3 linked regions of the Oryzias latipes genome follow. The protein of the gene in region 2 interacts with the protein of the main gene of each other region in a pairwise test. Links are inferred from orthologs where the notes say so. Each region holds a gene or a part of one and is shown on either strand. Other genes may lie near its edges. The genes, in order: probable global transcription activator SNF2L2, bend7 and nkapd1.

Region 1 (3,654 bases), on a different chromosome or scaffold from region 2:
GCCGGCTTCTGATGATTTGACATTCTGCTTTACGTTAACATCCATAGCAAATATTTGGTACATATTTGCCGTACCTGCCGCTGAAAGTTGAGCAGACGGAGCGCTTTGAGCTCCACAGTGGCTTTGGTCCTCAGGTCAGGAGGCAGAGACCCCGGTAGACTCTCCAGCTCCTGGATTCGGTGGGCGATGCGAGCCTGCAGCCTGAAGAACAGTATAAAGACAGATGTGGTAAAATAACCCTAATGATACTAAAACACAATAAGTCAAACAGTAAAGCCAGTCTGAAATGCTGAAATGGTGACTATGACATGAAAAAGAAGCTAAAGCTTTGAGTCTGATGAACAACATAAAGCGCCTCACGCGTCACACGTCTTTAATGAGAAAACGGATCAAACAGCCTCCATAGTAACGCTCCCAACCTCAGAAAACTGAGAACGTTTGACATGAATGCACTTTGCATGACACTTAATGAGTTCCTGGAGGAAATGGTCACCAACCTCCACTGTAAACACTGAGGAAGCATCATGGAGGTGTGCGAGCGCATCCATACCTGAACTCCCTCTCCTGCAGGATCCCCATCGGGTCCAAGCCCTGGGGCTTCTGTATGGGAGTGATGCGGTTCTGCTTCTGCTGCATCTGCAGCATGGGAGACACCTGCTGGCCCGGTGGGAGTCCAGCTGCCGAGCCGCTCAGTGCCGGCCCCGGAGGCACAGCGGAGGTCTGCGGCGGCGCGGGAGAGGGACGCCCGCTGGAGACGGGGGTGAGGTGTTTCTGCACGTGGGCCTGATTTTCTCCACCTGTCAAACAAAGACCTTCAACTTTTCTGAGCCTGCTTAGCCAGAAGATGTTTCACCGCTAAGACCCGAGGCCGGCAGGAAGCAGACTCACCATCACTCCACGGCTTGGCTGCACTCTGATTGGCTCCCTGCATGGCAGGCGCCGGGCAGGGGCTGGCCTGGGGGCCGCCCATCTGCGCCATTGGCATCCCTTTGGAAGAAGCAGATGTTGGATGAGTTTGGTTTTTCCATGAAAATACTGAGGTCACATTTTGGAGCCGCATATTTTCAGATCCAGATTTTGATGGTGTGACTGATTTAAAGCACAACGGTTCAGGGTCCAGGAACTCTATTTATGATATTTAAAATGTGAATTTTACGTGTTTACATCGTGTATTTTTGGGATTCACATTAAATAGCATTGGGGATTTTTATGAGGAAGAGCAGCTGCCTCCTCAGCACAGCTAACGGGGATCCTATAAATAATAAACTGATAATCAGAATTATGAATGTGCAGACTTTTTATCCCCGTCACATTAGTTTGGATGTAAAACCCAAAAGATGACTGCAAACATTACAGAGTTCCCTCGTGATATTGTGGTTCACTTTTTGCCGTTTCTCTGCTTTTTTCAGAGCAATTCTGTTTTTGTTGTTGTGTTTTTAACAGCGCACTGCGTTCTGGGCTGTCAATCAAGCTTCTCTGCGCCGTGAAATATGTTCAGTTTACCAAACATAAATCTTTGACTGGGATCAGAGCTTTGCTTTCATTCTATTATCCTGGACGTATTTTTCTATAAAAGTTTTAAAACAAAAGTGTGAAAATGTTGGTGTCTGTCTGGGAAAAGTGTAGAACGTCTGTTGTGAGACGTTTTACTGCCTCAAATCTTTTGCGGGTTTAGAACAGAACTCCTGCCATAAATGATGGTTTTTTCCTTCAGATTCTGCTGCTGCTCTTCATGATGACATCTTTAACGTTTGAACTTTTTTAAACCTGGACAAACCAAATCACAGTAAAAGGTTTTGAGCTCCAGTTTTAGCTCCGTGGGATTTCCACCTCGTCACCAGGAGGACCTGCCAGCGCTCCGGGATCGTTCCACAGGAGTCCCTCCACACCTTCTCTACAGCTGTAAACCCCAGAACTGTGCTCATGGAGGTGGGAAACGTCCTGCTTTTTACCTACAAGGTGTTCCACAGCCCCGCCCCCCCATACCTCCACTGTATGTTCCCTCTTTCAGTTCAGGCTTTTTCTTGGTAAGTTTTCCTTTTTATGCCTGTTTTTTAACGATGGTGTCTTTACATTGTTTTTGTTTGACCTTTGTTTCCTCATCCTCACCTGAAGGTCTGTAGGGGCTCACACTCGACGCCTGCTGCTGCTGCTGCTGCGGTGGCTGCTGCGGTGGCTGCTGTTGCATTGTGGGTAGGCTCCTTTTGCCTTGAACGGCCAGCTGGAGGTTTTCGGGCAGCGGCTGTCCGCGGGCCAGAATCTTGTAGGCCAGAATCTGAGCTCTGAGCTGCTGCAGCTGGACCGGGCTGAAGGCAGAGGGTCCGCGGCCCTGCTGGCCCATGCCGGCCATGCCTCCTTCCATGGGCATCATGGGACCTGACTGGGAGGGAGGGATGTGCGGCGGCGTGGGTCCACCTCCACCTCCACCTCCTGGCATGGGGCTGGAGGCGTGCTCGTGGACTCCCATGGGGGAAGGATGTGGAGACATGTAACCTTGAAGAGAATGGTGACACGTTGGAGCATGGTGGATGGATGGGACTCATGGTGCGTCCGGTTCAGACCCGTTACCTTGGCTGTGCTGGTCCATGGGGCTCTGAGGAGGACCCATCCCGCTGTGGAGCGATCTCATCCCCACACCCTTCATGTGCCCAAAATGCATGGCTTCTGTCATTGACTTGTCAGTCATGGCCTCCATGGGCTGGAAAGGAAAACATTCCCAGTTATTATACAATATTAAAGACTTGGTAGCCATATAGGGAACGTTGAGTTAGAAGATCAAAGCTCTTCCGGAAAAATGTTTCCTTTATAGACATTTGTGGAAGATGAAATCCCTTTTCTTTGATTGTGGATCAAAACACAAACATTTTGGGTAAATTATGCTAAAATCATTCATTCATTTAGACCCAAACGTTTGACACGATCAGTAAACCTTCTTCAGGCTGTGATTTGAAAATCAAACTAGACATAAATCACTCAGACAGAGTCAGCCAAACACGGTGGGATTGTCAGCTGCAACATCTGGACATTTTTAGCAGGTTTTACAGCTTTACACTTTTACACATCTGGAATGTGACGTGTTGGAAAAAAAACTCACGCATGACTTTGAGTAACAGAGGCGTCATTTCACAAAACTCTAAACGACTTGACTGATTTGGGAAAAACTATTGTTTGAACTAAACTGATGGTTCTTCAACAGCAGGCGGACAGTCTCAGCCTAACAACACATTCAGAACAAATAACCGTTTGTGGAGCCAGTACTCCCCCCATATTGGTGGGGGTCAGGGACCAGAGACAGCCACGAATCCGCAGAATTCTGAGAACCACCTCCAGCCCCGCGGGTGAAGGATGTCCGTCACCGATCCTTCCTCATCCAAACCCTTCTGGAACATTTCTGATGCTTTGTCAAACATTTACTGAAGAACATTGGAGTATTGCTCAACATGAAGAGTTTTTTTTCCAGATCAGTAGCCTGTACCGTGGCAGACTTTATAACATACATTAGGAGCCCGTGTTCCTCCTTCATGGGTCCTGCAGATTTGAGCGTCTGGCACGGCGCGTCAGTCCAGCAGCAGTGTGGGTTTGGCGTCATTTCTTGTAGAAGAGGCGGTTTCCTCCATCATTCATTGATCCGGATGATAAATATTCTCTGCGATT
Region 2 (3,754 bases):
TAAGGCTAAAAACTGCATAATCATAATTAAAAGACCATTGAGAATGCTTTTAAACAGCTCAAAAGATGATCAAAGTGAGCCTTTCAACAGAAAATTGCCAGATATTTTGGGATCAAAAAATGGAAATAGTCATTTAAAAAATAGAAACTAAAAATAACACAAAAAAAAGAGGGCTCCAAATTAGCTGAATGCATACCAGTTTGCGAAATAGGAGACTGCCAGAGCGGGTGTAGTTGACCAAGATGGAATCTAGCTGAGCTTTAGATATAAACACGTCGTATTCCTCTGCAAGACGGACCTCACTCTGTGATGGAATACAGAACAAAACAATTAGTCGTTCCAAAAATTAAACAGAAATGAACAACTGAAATTCAGAACTGGGTTTAAGAACTGAAGTCAAAAAGGTTGAGACTTCATTGTACAACAATACATTAAGGTCATTTTACATGGCTCAATAAAGATAAAGTTTACACCAGGTGTAACTCAGAAAGAAGCCAGTCTCATGACATTTTGCTTGGAGTCTGTTTAGTCTTTACAGAAATTTTAGATCTTGTGTGTCTTGTAAAAAGTTCTAAAAAAAGCAACTTTCTTATTCTGTTCAACAATTTATATCAATTACTTTACATTTTTGTTTTTTGATAAATTTAGCAAAACATTAAACTTAAATCAACAAACTAAACAAAGTCTAAACTTTCTAAGAAATTTTGCAACAAACTTTACAGAGAAACAAATTAAGGTTTTACCTCTGATGCTTGAGTTTCTTTTGGTTGGCTTAAGGTAGGATTATGAATTTTGCTCACTATTCCTGAATCATTCTGTTGTGACTGTGCCGAAATATCAGGGGAAATGGGATGCATGTTCAGCACTGACGAGTCCAGTTTCTCACATTTTTCCCTCTTTGCAGATTCTGCTGGTGGTGCAGCTTGATGCGCTGAACTTTCCACAGGAGAAAGAACAACTTTTTTACTGCTGGAGACAGTAAGAGGCGCCACCCTGTAGTAAGACTTTCTTTTTCTGTGAAGACTGCGCGGAGTGGAGCCCAGGCTAAAGCGAGGTTGGCATACTGGTGTTGCTTGTTGATGCTTTCCAAAGGATGCTAAATAAATGAAAGACAAAAACCTGTTATGCCTTCTTTATGTTTATCCCAGTGCAATTTGGCCACATTTTCTGACCTTTCTGAGTCTGCATCAGCCTCCTCATGGCACGCAATTCCTGCAATATAGCCTCTAGAGTGCCTGTACAGTTACACATACAGCACGAGCTTTCTTGGACTGCAGGTTGCGCCACATCTGGAAATGCAGAGGTGCTTTAATGAGTGATACGATCCATGCAAACATTGGCAAAGTGGACTTTCTGACTGGAAAAAAATGGTTGAATTGCTGTCTTTGATTTACTAAATGTAAAAAAAACCCTACTTTAATGTCAATTTTAATAGATTTTTCACAGATTGTTTATTGTTTTACCATTTTGTTCATTGGTTTTGCTCACATCCTTGGTTTTGTTGAAAATCCTGAGGGATCTGGAGCGAGTGCTGTACTGGCCATAGTTTGGACCATTGGGGACAGGTATAGATGGGGATGGCACAGAAAGCTCTGAGTGTCCGGTTGACAGCCAGCTGTTGCCTTGATGGTCATCTGGTACCACAGACAGGAATGGAGGCTGGTGAATCCAACTCAGATGCTTATCCTGGGAATCATTTGTTGTGCCGTCACAATCTGCAACAACACGCTGATACACTCGGCCAGTCTTGTCCCTCAGAAGCCTCATCATTCCTGTGATTTGCCTCTTGATCTCAACACCTTCATCTTCCAGCCAAACTGCATTGAGGAAAAATGGGTGTGGGCGCAGGTATAGAAATGGTAAAGTGACAAATCAATGCTCAATCTGACACATACCATCAGACACAACTGCATCTTTAGTTTTGCCATCCTTGCTGCTGGAATTCAGTGAAGAATCATGGTCTGCAAGTAAAACAAAAGGTTGTTGCTGTAAACTTGTGTAAAAAAGCCGCAATGACTGTCAACAAAAGCAGACACCCCCACCCCCCTTCCCATCTCATGCAGAAACCACCACCTGTAGGTTGTATGAAGTAGTTTTCGAGAGAGGCTGCAGCTTTAAAAAAGGTGAACATCCTGCGCTCCTGTTCTGGATGTGCAACAGATCAGAACATCCTTCATTGTCACGATCCACATAGAAGCTGGGGATGACGATTTGAACCCTCCAAACCCAGACATGCCGTGGCCGCCGCTTTTGTTTACGCGCACAGCAGCAGACACACAGCCAGCCAGCCAGACACGCGTCTCCTGCATCCATTCAGCAGCTTACCTTCATCTGCGACCAGTTTGAAGCTTTGCGACTTCCTCCTTCTCCTTCTTTCTCCAAATTCCATCTTTTTCCCGCAGGTCGAGCTGAAATACGCCGTTCAGAACGACCAGCCAGGGACCGAAACCCTGAGTGGAATCACCGTCTGTCCGTTTGCCTTATTAAACAGTTAAATTTCCTCCCAGTCAGCGCGTCCGATCCTTTCACCAGCAGATTCCCAGCCCGAAAAACAGAAGAATATTGTTGAGTGGATCCATTTCCCCCGATATTACTACCCCGACCCTCCCTCTGGTCATGTAAATGAATTGATGATTTTAATATAAGAATTGGTTATATCCCTTTGCGCCACCTGATGGCATGTTTCATTAAAAAGGTCGGCACATATTTGCCAGTCACTTCAGACAAAAGCCAGCGTTTAAATAAAGGCGGTCTAAACCCAAATCGTTGTTTTTCATTTCTCTTCCCCAATTAAATATCCTCTATTTGGTTTAACGGCAATGATAAAAAAAAGACAACTGAAAGCCGGACATTCGACAGCTGGAGCAGAAAACTCAAAAATATAGATAAACGTAATAAATAATGCCAAACAATAAAAGCACTTTGGGTGACCCGAGTTGTAAAGTGCTATAAGTAAAGCTTGATTTGATTAGAAAAATGAAACTTTTGAAAAAGTGAATGAATGAATACACTTACTCTGTTTTAAAGCAGCTGACATACCACAGGATTTCAATTTGACAAAAAAAAAACCTTTTAGAAAAGTAGCTCAAATAATAAAGAGATTTCTTTGGCTTTGGTTCGCAGTATAGTTTTCTGAATTCATCATTTAGAACTTAAAATTATTTGTTTTAATTTGGGCTTTCAGGCTTTTTGAGTTATTGTAAATGGGATGTTCATATCAGCCAACACTTCTTTTTACCTTATGGACAAATGATGGACACAATGAAACAAATAGAAGCAGCAAAAACCCACGTGACTTACTAGCCGATCTAGCAGGGTCTGCAACACAATATCAAAGCAGGAATGGACAAGAACGACCACCATTAAACGAGATAGATTGTGTATAAAGTTTGACAAAAATAAACAGTTTTATTAATTCGGATTGCACGATTTCTAAGTTACTTTCAATCAAGTTACTTCAACACAGATGAAGTAAAATTGCCCCCCCCCGGTCTCCAAAAGATGAACTAAACTGGCTTAACATTTAAATAAATGAGATTGACTAAAAAATAGTTCTAAATAGTTGCCATTATCTTACGGAACCCGTAACGTTTCGCCAATTTTTGTGACAAAGTTTAACACAAACAAGCTGTGGTTTGCTAGGACAAAAACGGAATTTTGTTAAGGAATAATTTAAAAGTTCTCTCTCTCAAAGCTTTCTAGCTTTGTGGTTGTTGTTTTCATATCCTTGCTTCATGTTGCTTTTTTTTCATAA
Region 3 (3,754 bases), on a different chromosome or scaffold from region 2:
TAACCCTGACAAGATCTCCAAATGATGAACTCATTAAATGTGGTGAGACTGTTCTTTAAAAAACGCTCAAGGAGAAGGTAAAATGCGTTTACCTCACGTTGTCTTTGAACGGCAGCTGTTTCGGATGGGACATCTGCATCTCCCAGCCTCGCATTTTCCACATCTCCATCTCCTCCTGGATCTGCAGGAAGCAATGATGTGTGCAGAAACACCTAATGTGACACCTGGATTCACACAATTACACGAAGACAGTCTCGTGGCAACACTTTTATTTTTTTGTGTGCTTTTCATTAATGGAGTGGATAGACTACACACTTCAGAGGAAAGAAAAAGAGAAAACCCCAAAGCGATTTGTTTCAATTTATTGAAGAACCTGATATAGCATTGATTTTTCCGTCAACACCCATCAGCAGTACAATAGAAAGATCCAACAGGACAGTGCAGTCTTCAGGCCAAAAAAATGGAAGAAATGAGGCTTTTAAACAACTGCCGTTTTTCAAAATGTGGGGCTGAAAAGAGAAGCACCTGGAAAGCAGTGAGCCATCCTCCCATATGTAAGTAAATCTAAACCGCCACAGCCAGCTCAAAGAACAGTTTTTAGTAGGCCTGCACAATATCACAAATTTATTGTTATCGTGATATCATATCGCAAAAGACGGAGAAAATTGCAATAAATGTTTACCTTAAATGTGCCAAAAAAATCTTATGGCTTAAGCTTAAGCTTGAAGAATTTATCGAATCAACTAATTCCATTTATGCATTTGACCAATCAGATGCACTTCATCACGATGTTGACCAATCGGATGAAGCCCTTTGAAGTTAGATGTTCATCTCCTATATAGATGAGGGTCATTTGGAGTATAATTTAATGTATAATATTTATATAATATAAAACTACTGTTTCAGTGAAATGGAAATGATGTATTTGGTTGTTTTGCTTTTTGTTCATGTACCACAAGTTATATCGTCATCGCAATATTGATCACTAAAATCCAGAGTTTTCCTCATATCGTGCAGCTCTAGTTTTTAGCCTTCTTTTTTTTTTAATCTCCAGTTTTTCTCCATTGACTGAAAGTTGGTGTAATTCTAATGTTTCCATCTGAAGGTCGGTCTGAGAAACTCCCAAGATTTGACATTTTCTACCTACAGTATTAACATACTTTTGTTGCCAGGTCAGACTTTCAAAAGAACTTGTGGGATTTGTTATGTCACTAAATCACTTTGTGAAAACTTTAGCATTGAACAAAAAAAATATATATACAAGTCTATGTCTATATATATATATATGTCTATATATATATTGCTGATACAGGATATTCACACACAAAAAGAGTCAACATGACTTTAGAGACCAGAGAAGTTACAGCCCATAAACAGCAGATCACACTGTAATAAACTGAAACTTCAACACAGTGATATACCATATTCTGCAACAATATGTCAAACTTTTCTTAGTTGTTTCTCTATTTTTTCAGTTGCTAACTTTTTTGGTGTTTAGTCCTTGTTCTGTAGATCTTTGAGAGTTGAAAGTTTTTACTCAATGGCACAGAAATGAACTTTATTTATTAAAGCTCAAAATGATCAAATCTGCCAAGACTTGTAAACGCTGAAAAAATAGTTTTTTGTGAGCATAGTGATGATGTATCTAAGGGTAAGCATGGTTTTTAAATACAAATACAAAAAAACAATAATAACAATAATTACAAATGTGTGTCGCAAGTTAATAAAATGAAACAGAAAATCCTCATATCTTTATCCATTGTTAAAATTACATTACAGTGGCGAGTATACTATATTACACACATTCAGATATGGTAGTTAGTAAATGTTAGGAGTCTCTATATTTGTCCTGCCCTGTTAGAGCATTATGTGTGGAAGAATCTGTAAATGATAAAGGAATCATGACAAATCAAAAACGTAGAGCTACTATGTATCCTTCCACACAGTGAGGTCACAAAAACGGACTAGCTTTTTGGAGAGAAATTGTATTTTTGAATTCGTTTTATTTTTTCTTTTGCCACTGTTCTGTGCTTCATATAATCTCAAATAAAATGCACAGTGAATAATTTAAACGACACGGTACTAAATTGTTTTTCTTTTTAATTATTGTTTTTAATTTATTAATTTTAAGTCATCTCTGTGACACGATATGATAAAAGTCTAATTATTTTGTTCCAGAAAATTTACCTAAGCAGCTTGGCGATCAATCTAAAATAGGCTAATAATTCGAAAGCTACCGAATTTCTAAGTAAACAGTCAAAAATGTTTGGCTTAGGCGCAAAACCAAACATTTTTGGCTGTTTTGGGGATTTAGCTTCTTGTTCAAACACACACAACAACGAACATACCTTGTTGTGTGCATCTGTATGCCGGATGACATTCCGCAGCAAGGTCTTCCCCGCCGGCTGCTTTGACATGATGACACCTGAAATAAGGACCCATATGAAACACTAAGTACAGTGCAGGCAGGAGAAGTACGAGAATAAATAAAAAATGATTTCAACGCGACGCAACCATGAAACCATAGCTCCTCGAAAGTCTCCCCTGCTAGCTTAGTTGGCTAGCTACTGTCGGCTTTCCTCTCAACCCAAAATCTGTTTATGATCAATATAGCTAAATTTAGCCAACAGTTACATAATTAAAAATCTGTAACATCGTATCGTAAACGTACGTTAAATAATTTACTCGTGAAACTATAAAGTTAAGAGGAATAAATCGTTTTGGCTAACCTCTGTTAGTACTTCCGCTGAAAAGTCGTTTGCCTGTCGCTTATTTTACGTCACTGGGGGAAAAAAAGAAAAGAAAGAGAGCCTGAATGATGATTGGCGTAGGAACACATCAATCAAATTGGTAACCAATAAAACTGTAAGATTTGACCCACGGTAAAATTGTATCAAGTCAATTGAAAGGGAAAAAAAAAGTTAATATAATAATATTTGTTGTAGTAATAGTAGTATTAATCCTTGGGGATTATCAATGTATTTTTCATAAATGAATTAAAAAATACTCCAGTACGTTATCTAACTGTAAATAAATATGTTCGTATTTGTTTACATCCAATAAAGGACAATATCTGTCACACTAACTAACAAAACGAAGACTTGCATAAAAACTGTATAGCCGGTGCTAATTGAAGTTTTGGTGACGTGCAGATTTTTGCCTGACATCCCTTCAACATTATATTTTTAGCAGCAGAAATTTCAATTCTTCATCCGCCAAAGATTGTTTAACAAAACAGTCTTTTTCTTTTCAATTAAGTGTCATCACTGTGTCCTCCTCCGTCCTGTTTGCTGCAGTGTCTGGGAGTCCTGTTTCTTCCTAATTAAAAAAATAAACAATTTCCTTATTCCATATGGCAAAACTCATTATTTTCTATAAAACCCAAACTGCTTTTGCAATAAGGTACAACCCAAAGGAGGATTGAAGTGATATTACACATTAAATATTGTTTTAAAAAAGTATCTCTTCTAAAATCAAGAACTATTAAACATGTAAAATGAAAAAAAAAGGACTACTTCTCTGTTTTTAGATGACGTTATTAATCCCACAATGGGGAAATTAATTTATCTTATAATAATAATTTATCTTATAAATTTCCAGACCAGCGAATAAGCTTGAGAAAACTCATTACATTTTGCAATATTTATTGGTCTACTGTGTTGAGTTTCATCTTGGCATACAATTTTTACATTTGCAGACACACGCTACAAAACAGAACACATTTAGCATCACTGTAAGCCTGAGCATTGTTGTG

What was found.
Region 1: the proteins of bend7 (region 2) and probable global transcription activator SNF2L2 interact in binary tests that used the Homo sapiens proteins (3 or more experiments, as listed by UniProt). The two-hybrid records come from large-scale screens. The link is inferred for Oryzias latipes from reciprocal best matches to the Homo sapiens genes BEND7 and SMARCA2.
Region 3: the proteins of bend7 (region 2) and nkapd1 interact in binary tests that used the Homo sapiens proteins (3 or more experiments, as listed by UniProt). The two-hybrid records come from large-scale screens. The link is inferred for Oryzias latipes from reciprocal best matches to the Homo sapiens genes BEND7 and NKAPD1.

Annotation. Positions count from the first base shown.
Region 1 is NC_019867.2:1,061,550-1,065,203, forward strand, and holds part of probable global transcription activator SNF2L2, read right to left. Parts: intron 2,699-3,654; coding exon 2,569-2,698; intron 2,494-2,568; coding exon 2,110-2,493; intron 988-2,109; coding exon 889-987; intron 798-888; coding exon 551-797; intron 202-550; coding exon 75-201; intron 1-74. UniProt on the Homo sapiens protein: ATPase involved in transcriptional activation and repression of select genes by chromatin remodeling (alteration of DNA-nucleosome topology).
Region 2 is NC_019864.2:20,636,031-20,639,784, forward strand, and holds the start of bend7 (BEN domain-containing protein 7), read right to left. Parts: upstream 2,663-3,754; 5' UTR 2,390-2,662; coding exon 2,326-2,389; intron 1,962-2,325; coding exon 1,896-1,961; intron 1,818-1,895; coding exon 1,464-1,817; intron 1,290-1,463; coding exon 1,173-1,289; intron 1,097-1,172; coding exon 744-1,096; intron 305-743; coding exon 197-304; intron 1-196.
Region 3 is NC_019871.2:11,390,240-11,393,993, forward strand, and holds the start of nkapd1 (uncharacterized protein NKAPD1), read right to left. Parts: upstream 2,838-3,754; 5' UTR 2,730-2,837; intron 2,426-2,729; 5' UTR 2,418-2,425; coding exon 2,349-2,417; intron 182-2,348; coding exon 93-181; intron 1-92.